2 linked regions of the Caenorhabditis elegans genome follow. The protein of the gene in region 1 purifies or fractionates together with the protein of each later gene. This does not show direct contact. Each region holds a gene or a part of one and is shown on either strand. Other genes may lie near its edges.

Region 1 (5,127 bases):
AAAAAAAAAACATTTTTTAAGTTATGAAAAAAAGTTTGGATCAAAGGGACGGTGATATATTTTTCACTAGTATTGAGTGGGCGACACAAGTTTTCAGAGGTCAAGCTATTTCTTGCGGACCTCCATTGATGTCGGCTGCGCATAAATTTTTGCATGCGGCTAAAAACTCGTGCAAAATGGAAAATTGAAAACCGAAAACCGAAAACCGAAAACACCAAAAAATTTAAGTTTGATATACAATGTTAATGCAAAACTTGCCAGTCTACCCTAGTGCAGTCTGGTACCAATGCACATTTGTACCTGGTGAGATAATCTGACATAAATCAAAATTTCTCAAAGTAGCGTTTACCTGAGAATGTTTGAATCAGCGTTTTATGATGTTTCTGTGTCACACTGATCAAATATCATTAAAATCTAAAAATCATTTCCCCTTTGAGCCAACTTCAAAGTTTTCAGAAAACAACATTTTGAACCGCCATAAACATTTTTTTTAATTTTCCAAAAGGCATCGTTACAAATTGGGTGTTTTGGAATTTTTTTCAATATAATATCGAGCAAATTCTAACTCTACCATTGCAATCAAGTGCTCCAAATCATTGCCGATCAAGAAGTCAAAATTTACGATAACTAAGAAAGGTTTAGGTTTTTCAAAAAAAAAAACTTTAAAATTAACTAATAGAAGCTTAATCAGGATAAAACCAAACAGAAATACTTTTCTACATTCGAAAATTCTTCAAAAATTATGAGATTTGAAAATTCGACACTTTAGAATAGAAACGGTGAACAGTAACAAACATCTTGGTAAAAGTTTTAGATAAACAATGGGTAGAAATAAATTTTCATACGAAGATATATTTTGAACAAAAAAACCGTACAAAACAGGCGATTTTACCCAAGATGAGTCAAGACGGTGCTCCGATTTTCAGTCCAATTTTGGTATGACAAAAAGATAAACTTACAAAGCAAGGTTCGCTGGGAATAGGAGCCGGAAAGCTAGTATAATAAGAGTCCATTCTCGGTTTCCTCCCTCATTCAATTCTCAAGGACGTCAAGTAGAAGATGAAAAGGGTGAGAAGCACCGTTGGCACACCGGAGGCACTTTGAGAAAAAGAGGCGAAGATGTATTAGAGGGAGGAAACGAGGAAAAAAATGGGGGGGGGGGAGGAGGAAGAGGTATCCGTATCCTTTTCAATTTCTTCACTGACTTTGTTCGTCTTAATATTGATTCGGTTCGTTGTCTGTGCAACAGAGCTGCCGAAGCTCGAATGGGCTTAGAATAGTGTGTTGTATACGGCTCGCTTTCGTTTTCTCCTTGCGAATGTCAGTTCATCCGTTTCGTTTTTTTTCTTCCCTTTTTCCCCCCACGCTCTTTGTCTTTTTCTCTCACCTCATCCCCCGATGGTTTTTGTAGTGGGTGGTGGTGCCAAAATTGGAAGAGAATTAAAGACAAAATGATGTGGCGTCAATGAGAAAACGTATTAACTGGGGGATTCAAGAGAGGTTTTTTCTTATAAAAAATGTTTAGCAGCAGAGGAGCACTAGGAAACAGAGAAAAGTAGTTCGGAAATTTTGTGAAAATGCTCAGATTACTTTTCTCTGACAGTTTTCCCCAAAAAAAACCCGCCAAAGTGTTCACGTACCTCTAGACAATCGTCAAATCATTTAATGTCTGTAAATTCTCACTTGGAACAATTTCACGACTCTTAAGTATGAAACAATGCAATGGAAATATTTCATACTGGTTTTTACATATTATATCATTACTTATTATACAGAAATTGCGAAACATTTTTGAAATCAAGAACTCGAAAGGCTTTGGCAAAATGATACAATAAAGAGCCAAAGCCGAGGGGATGGGGGCTCTCTGACTCAGAGGGGTGGCTCAAATTCAATTTCGGGATTCCGAGATTCGTGGATTCAGATTCAAATTCGGACTTTCATTTTTCGTTTTTCCAATTTCATCTATTTCCTCTTCTTGGAATACACTCAAACAAATAACAGAAAACAATATGATTTAGAATTGAGGAGAAAAAAAGATAGGTTGGTTAATTTTGAATTATTCTCAATGGAACTATCAAATCTAGCTCTTACGCTTCAATAATATAGATTTTTTTACAGGAAAATATTTTGATTGTGTATATTAAGCCAGGTGGAAAGAACAAGGAAGACGTCACTGACGTTAGCGGTCTGACGCGTTTTGAGTACAAATTTCTATTTAAAAACTTGTTTTGGCGATTTTCAAAAAAGTCCTCAAAAGGTTTTATTTCAAAAGCCATAATCAAAAGTATTTTAAGAAATAGGCATAAAAGCATAAAACCATGTGAAATATTAACAAAAAATGTATAACACTCAAAAAGATTTTGTTATTGTTATTTTTTAATGTTATTTTTAAAAAAACTCACAGCATTTTTGCCAATATTGTCTATAATTATTATGAACGTTTCTGAGAACTTGGATATCAGGCTTTTTCCCAATCGAAAACTGATAATGATTAAAACCACCAAAAAATAAAACAAAAATCGTACGCTTTAAATGTAATCTCAACTAGAAATCTACCAAAACCGCTCCCAATCCTATCATTAAAATGCCTCTGAAATGGGCGAAAGTGGACAAGTAGGACGTGACTGAATAATGTAGTTTTGCCTGCCTCCCCCCAAATTCAAGTTAAAAAGAGCATGACGATGGAGCAAATGCTCCAGACTATTCCCAATGCGGATTAAGCGGGGCTCAGGCGGCTTCCTTTGCACCCAGAAACACGTGGAATCAAAAGTCGACTGGACGTCATTACGGCGAAATGAATGGATTATTAGAATTGAGGGACAGAATGTGAGAAAATCAAATGATTAATAAAGTTACGCATTTACCAAAATTTGAACTATATTCAAAATTTTCAATACAGTGTTCTTTTTTTTTGGAAAACTATTAATTTAGAAGATAATTATCTTTTTGAATTGTCAATTGCATAATATTAATGAACCGTGCATTAAAATTATTAATAACTATTAAGTAATCATTAAGGGTATTAAGTGATCAGTACTTTTCAAGTTTTTTTAAAATTGTACAATTTAACAAAGTCTGAGTCTTTTTAAACTTTAAAAAAAGTGACATCACATTTGATCATAATTTAGAACAACCCACTCAATCAGAAAAAAATCTGTACTCACCTTGAGAGCTTCAAACATGTGCAGACTTTGCCCGATTGACGAGCGCAGTCATGCGGCTAAGTTTTAAGCTTCCTTGGATTCCAAACGGGGATTTTTTTTGATTCTGCTCCTGAGCAGCTTTCCTGGTTCTGAAATCTATAGTGTTGATTTCCGTTTATGGTACAAATGTTGGAAGTGACGTTGAGAGAACGATTCAAATGCGAGAAAAACCCAACTTGTCATATTTCAATGAATTGGCAGGAATTTAGCAGTACACAATGCACACAGAGCACAGCTCTTTGCACTGCTACTGCCCTGGGGAGTACTCACTAAAAAAAGTGAGAGATGCACAGGCTTCGAGAGAATCAGAAAGGGCCCGTTAAGAGGGATGGGATAGGAAAAAGAAGTCCATCCATCCCCCCAGTGGTCCTGACAAAAAAAGGATCAATAAAAAATTGGAGAAGAGGAATCGGAAGGAAATCTAGTGGAGTGCTTCGCAAGAATTGTTAGTTTTCCAGATATAGTAAATGCCAACAACGTAGTCTTGGTTATGGTTTTTATACCGTATTTTTTTCTGGAGCAATACTTATTCTGGATGCCTAGGGAACGCAATTACATTAGAGAATGCAAAATAATTTCTGAAGGCCATTGAATAAAATATGTATAATATAATTAAAATCCTAATATATCTGATGCGACAAATTGAGGAAAAGAACTTTGAGAAAATATTTTTTAATAATGAAAGTTCAGAAAAAAAATACTGAAAACGATCTATACGAGAATTTTCTTTCGTATTTGTTAAAATTTGATACGAACCGATTTCAACTGTAAATATGGAACTCTTTTTAATTAAAAAAAAACGTACTTCAAAATTTGCGAGAATGTAAAATTCTGAACCTTCAGTTATTATCGCTGAGTTTTTTATACGTTTTAAAATTTTAGGTATCCTGATTCATGTAAGACCGCTGAAAATAAAGTTTCAGCCCCGAGATTTCAATTCAGTTAATAGGAGAATGCAATACTGATAGGAAAAATAATAGAAAGTGATTACCAAAATTGTGTTAAATTATCAAAAAAGGTGGAGTACCGAAATCTGCGACTTTAAACCAAAAATGCCCCAAAACTACCGAATTATGTAATAAGAAATTTTGAAAAGTACTCATAAAAAGTTATCACGTTTCAAAATTCTGGAAATCAAAGCTCATGTTCGACTAAAATCAAATATTTTGCCAACTTCTTGGTGTCACAGCGTCTGGAATTTAATTTTTATCAATTACCACTATTTCATAAACATTGTGTCCAAATTTCCAAAATGTTGAAAAATATGAGCTTTTTACTAAATTCAAAGCAATGTCGCATGTTCCTACCCCTACAATGTTTTATTACAATTTATTTGAACAAAGTATAAAATACGTAGGAAAAATTTTTCCTTCGTCGACTTCTAAAATTATGAGTGGCAAAACTGAGTAATTGCCTCTTTTTGACAGTTAATAAAAAATTTTCAAAATTTATTTGAAAAGTTTTATGATGATATTTGGTCATTTTGGGTCCATAGAAAGTAGTTTTTAACAATTTACCCACTGGCGCTACTCCACTTTTAATATATTTCACGTTGGAACAGTCTTCTTAATTTTCTAGAATAGAGTCTCAACTAGTTAAGTATTTTCTGAGTGCACATTGCACCCATCAAAATTCTCATTGCGTGTCATAATTTTCAGGTTCATTACTTTTCTTCAACTTTTAAAACTCATTCAATGTTCATTGCTCTTTAACCAGACAATGAAATTAGGCAATAAAACTTGTGAAAAAAAACAAACTACTAAGGAAATTAGAACGTGAAAGAACAACAAAAAAAAAGAGAGAAAAAGAAGAAAAAATTTGGAGAAGTGGCTCCAGGGGGCTAGCGTGGTCGCGCAACGCTGCCTGCCTACTCAATAGCACGGACGATAAGCCGTTGTGGGAGTGAAGACGAAGAAGGCTTGGG
Region 2 (3,547 bases), on another chromosome or scaffold:
ATGCGGAAGTGGACCAATTCTTCAAAATGTCAAGTTGGAACACTACTTGCCTGCAATGCTACACTTGATTGTCGGACTGTTCACGAAATACATCTTTGAGCCGATTTGGATGGCCGTTGTGAGTTTAGACAATAAAACATCATTTGAAATTCGAAGAAATAAAGAAGAGACAAAAAGAGTTGCCGATTTGAAGATTCAAGACGCGAACAAAAAATTCGAAGCTTCACCACTTAAGAGAAAAAGAGAGATGAAAGCACAGTTTACTGCTCTGAAAGAAGAAAAAGTGTTATTGGACGAGACGCTGGATGGACTTGCTGGTGGATATCTTAAACAATTTGAGAATGATCTGGAAGAAGTTGGTGCAACACGCCGAGCGTGGTTTCAAATGTACACTGGAAATCACACGAAGCTGATTTTGTCTGAGAAAGGTGTCACAGCTGCATTCAAAAATCTGAAAAACCACATGACTCCGATGCTTCTGAATGTCAAGAACGCGATGAGCAGGCTGTCCAAAATCATGTCATTGTCGGCCAATCGATTGCTCTCTGACGATGACATCAGCGAATTGGATGAGTCGATGAAGGAATTCGTTGAATTCCTACAAGCTGCCCACCCAGAAGAATCAATCACTCAAAAATTGCATGTCCTGGTTGCTCACGTAGTAGAAGTCGCAAAAACGGAAAGGAATTTGGGAAGGCTTTCGGAGCAAGGAATCGAATCGCTTCATGCCGTTTTCAATCGCCTCGAAAGACGCTTCCACTCGGTTAGAAACACAGGGAAAAGATACCTGTACATTGCTAAGGAGCTGTCATGTAGCAATCTAATTTCTGATATGGAGGAAGTAAGTGGAACCTTTCAAAAAAACAAATCGTAACATTTTCTTTGCAGGACGCCTCGTCTTCCCAATAAACCACCCAGCGCTCTCCCTCACACAATTCTGAACCTTTTCGCAATTAAAATTTCGGGATTTCCTCAATATCATAAAATTCGGGATTTTCTATGGTTAGTTGTGCTTAAAATTATTAAAAAATTATTAATTTCATTAAATTTCAGGTAAAAACATTGACAAGCAGATACTCGGTGCAAATTTGATGGATTTCTCATCAATATTTTGTCGAGGATATTATAAGCGGAGATGCTCCACATGGTTTCTTTCAACTTGGAAAATTGTCGATGTGACACCTTAGGATTCTATCGAAAAGCTAAAATTCAGGATTTCCTTCGGTTTGTTGGGATTAAAATTATTCGAAAATAATTGATTTTATGAAATTTCAGATTGAAACCTTGTCAATGAGCTACTCAGCAAAATTTCGATGGATTTATCTCAAAAAGTTCACCAGGAGTCGAGGCAATTAAGAAATTTCACCGGGTTTCCTTATTTTCGAAAGTTTTACCAAGAAAAATTTCAACTTGCATCCGTAAAGCGAAGAAGGAGGCTGATTCCACATATTAAATTCGTTTTTTGAATCGATTTGTATGTATTTTTCAATTTTCAATCTTCCGTTTCGATTATTTCTTTGTTTTACTGTTCAAAATTAATTTTTCTGTGTTTCAATAATTCAATTCTCAATTGTTAGCTACTAAATTGAATAATAAAATCTATTTTTTATTTTTTTTTTCACCTTGAAACTATTAATTCTGCCTTTTTTCTGCTAAAATTTGCTTCAAAAATCTATTTGCCGCTGCAATGTTTTGCGGACTACGGTACGCAAGTACGCAAACACCGCGATGACACATTGCGGACCATTTCACTGCGTACCTGCGAGATCTTTCTCAAATTTTACGAGAGATCTAGTTTTTGTGATACCGTGTGAAAGATTAGTTGCGCTAATCAAAAATGTCCTGTACAAAGTCCTTGGGAAACAAGTTGTTACGATTTTGGAGCTGGAAACGCTGGTAATTGAAACAGAAGGAATAATTAATTCAAGGCCAATAACACCAAACAAGAAAGATCCGGACGATGCTCCAGCGATTCGACCAGCAGATTTCATATCGTATAATGCTCAACTGACACGGCCAGAACATCACAAATCGATATTCGAAGCGATACAAGGTGGAGAAAGTGGAAAGTTGACGAGACAGTTGATGGAGAAACTCAGAATTATCAAGGAACAGCTATGGAAGGAGTTCAGCAAGTCATATATAGCAGCATTGAGAGATGTGGAGCATCATAAGAAGGCGACGTCGAGGCTGAAACCTGAAATTGGTCAAGTGGTTTTGGTATTCCAGAAATTGCTACCGCGTTATGCATGGCCAATGGCGAGGATCGTGGAGCTGAACAGGAAAAATCCAGATGGAGAGGTGCAATCTGTGATGGTAAAAATGGGAAAGAGAATTGTCGAGAAACCAGTGAATCTGCTGATTCCACTGGAGAATACGGGAATTCGAATTCAAGTTGCTCAGGAAGAGGAAGGGCCAGACGATGACGTGGCAGTCGAGGACGTGGATGCGGCCGATGAGCAGGAAGCGGGAACGGCTAAAAATCCAGAAGAAGATATTCCGAAGGAAGGCGCAGTGACCGAAGAACAGGATGTGAATGTTGACAAGGATCCAGAAGAGGAGCGAGAAGATGGACGTGCACACCTGAAAAGAGCTGCAAAAACAAGACCTCTCAGAATTCCAGCCAAATTCAGAGAGTTTTCTTTCCCTGGAGTGTCGCGCAGAACAGCTCTACGCGAAGGAAAGAAGGAAGAAATCGATAATCGAGTGCGGCGGAGCGCATTTGCATCGACAGAAATGCGGCAAAACGTTAGGTTTAAATATTAAATTTTGACCTGCCAGTAATTCCCTTTTGTGTACAATTTGTTCCTTTACCCGCCAAAAATTTATTGTTAATTTGCTCTCTTCTTGTTTTATCATCCTTCAATTTCTCAAACTATTCATTCCTCCCGCAGAACCCACCTAGGGGTATGTAGGGAGTTTTACTCCGGTCTCTCTATTTCCTCATCAACATCACTTCACTAATATGTTCACCTGGATTGCTATCATGCTCATCAATTTGCACTTTATTGTATCTCAACACTTTATTGTATCAAACCAAATAGTAATTCAATAAATGAAAATGCGGAAGGCTAAATCGTTCTGAAGTTATTGATTTCACTGGGGATCCCGCTTCTGGAGTTGGATCCAAGTCGAGGAGCTGTAAGATTCGTCGTCTCATTATGGCGAACGACAGTAAATATTGCTTTCAACCTGATTTTTTGTAAGTAATGTAATGTTGAAGCATTATTCTTCATAGTTCAGCACTTTGTATGGCTTATTTGAGCCCAAGGCAAATACTCCCAATAGTACGTTCTCTAACTCTTACCACTCTAACTCTTACGCGTGCTCTAATGCTTACGTGATCTTATGCTTACAAAATATTGCTCGCATGCTTACGTGTCTCTTATACTGACAAAGTGCTCATTGTCCGTATAAGAGAATTCGCAGTACTTCAAAAGCTCCCACTCATACAATTTTCTAAATTTTCTCTTATACTGACAAAATTCTCATTGTCCGTATAAGAGAATGCTCCCACTCATACAATTTTCTAAATTTTCTTTTTTTG

Evidence for each region.
Region 2: the proteins of sad-1 (region 1) and Y20F4.8 fractionate together in Caenorhabditis elegans (co-fractionation; one large-scale study listed by BioGRID). This does not show direct contact.

The regions. Positions count from the first base shown.
Region 1 is NC_003284.9:13,497,371-13,502,497, forward strand, and holds the start of sad-1 (Serine/threonine kinase SAD-1), read right to left. Parts: upstream 3,293-5,127; 5' UTR 3,183-3,292; coding exon 3,165-3,182; intron 1-3,164. UniProt on the Caenorhabditis elegans protein: Regulates both neuronal polarity and synaptic organization when bound to strd-1. Kinase activity is required for the establishment, but not the maintenance, of both processes.
Region 2 is NC_003279.8:2,048,359-2,051,905, reverse strand, and holds Y20F4.8 (DUF5641 domain-containing protein), read left to right. Parts: upstream 1-1,728; coding exon 1,729-2,766; downstream 2,767-3,547.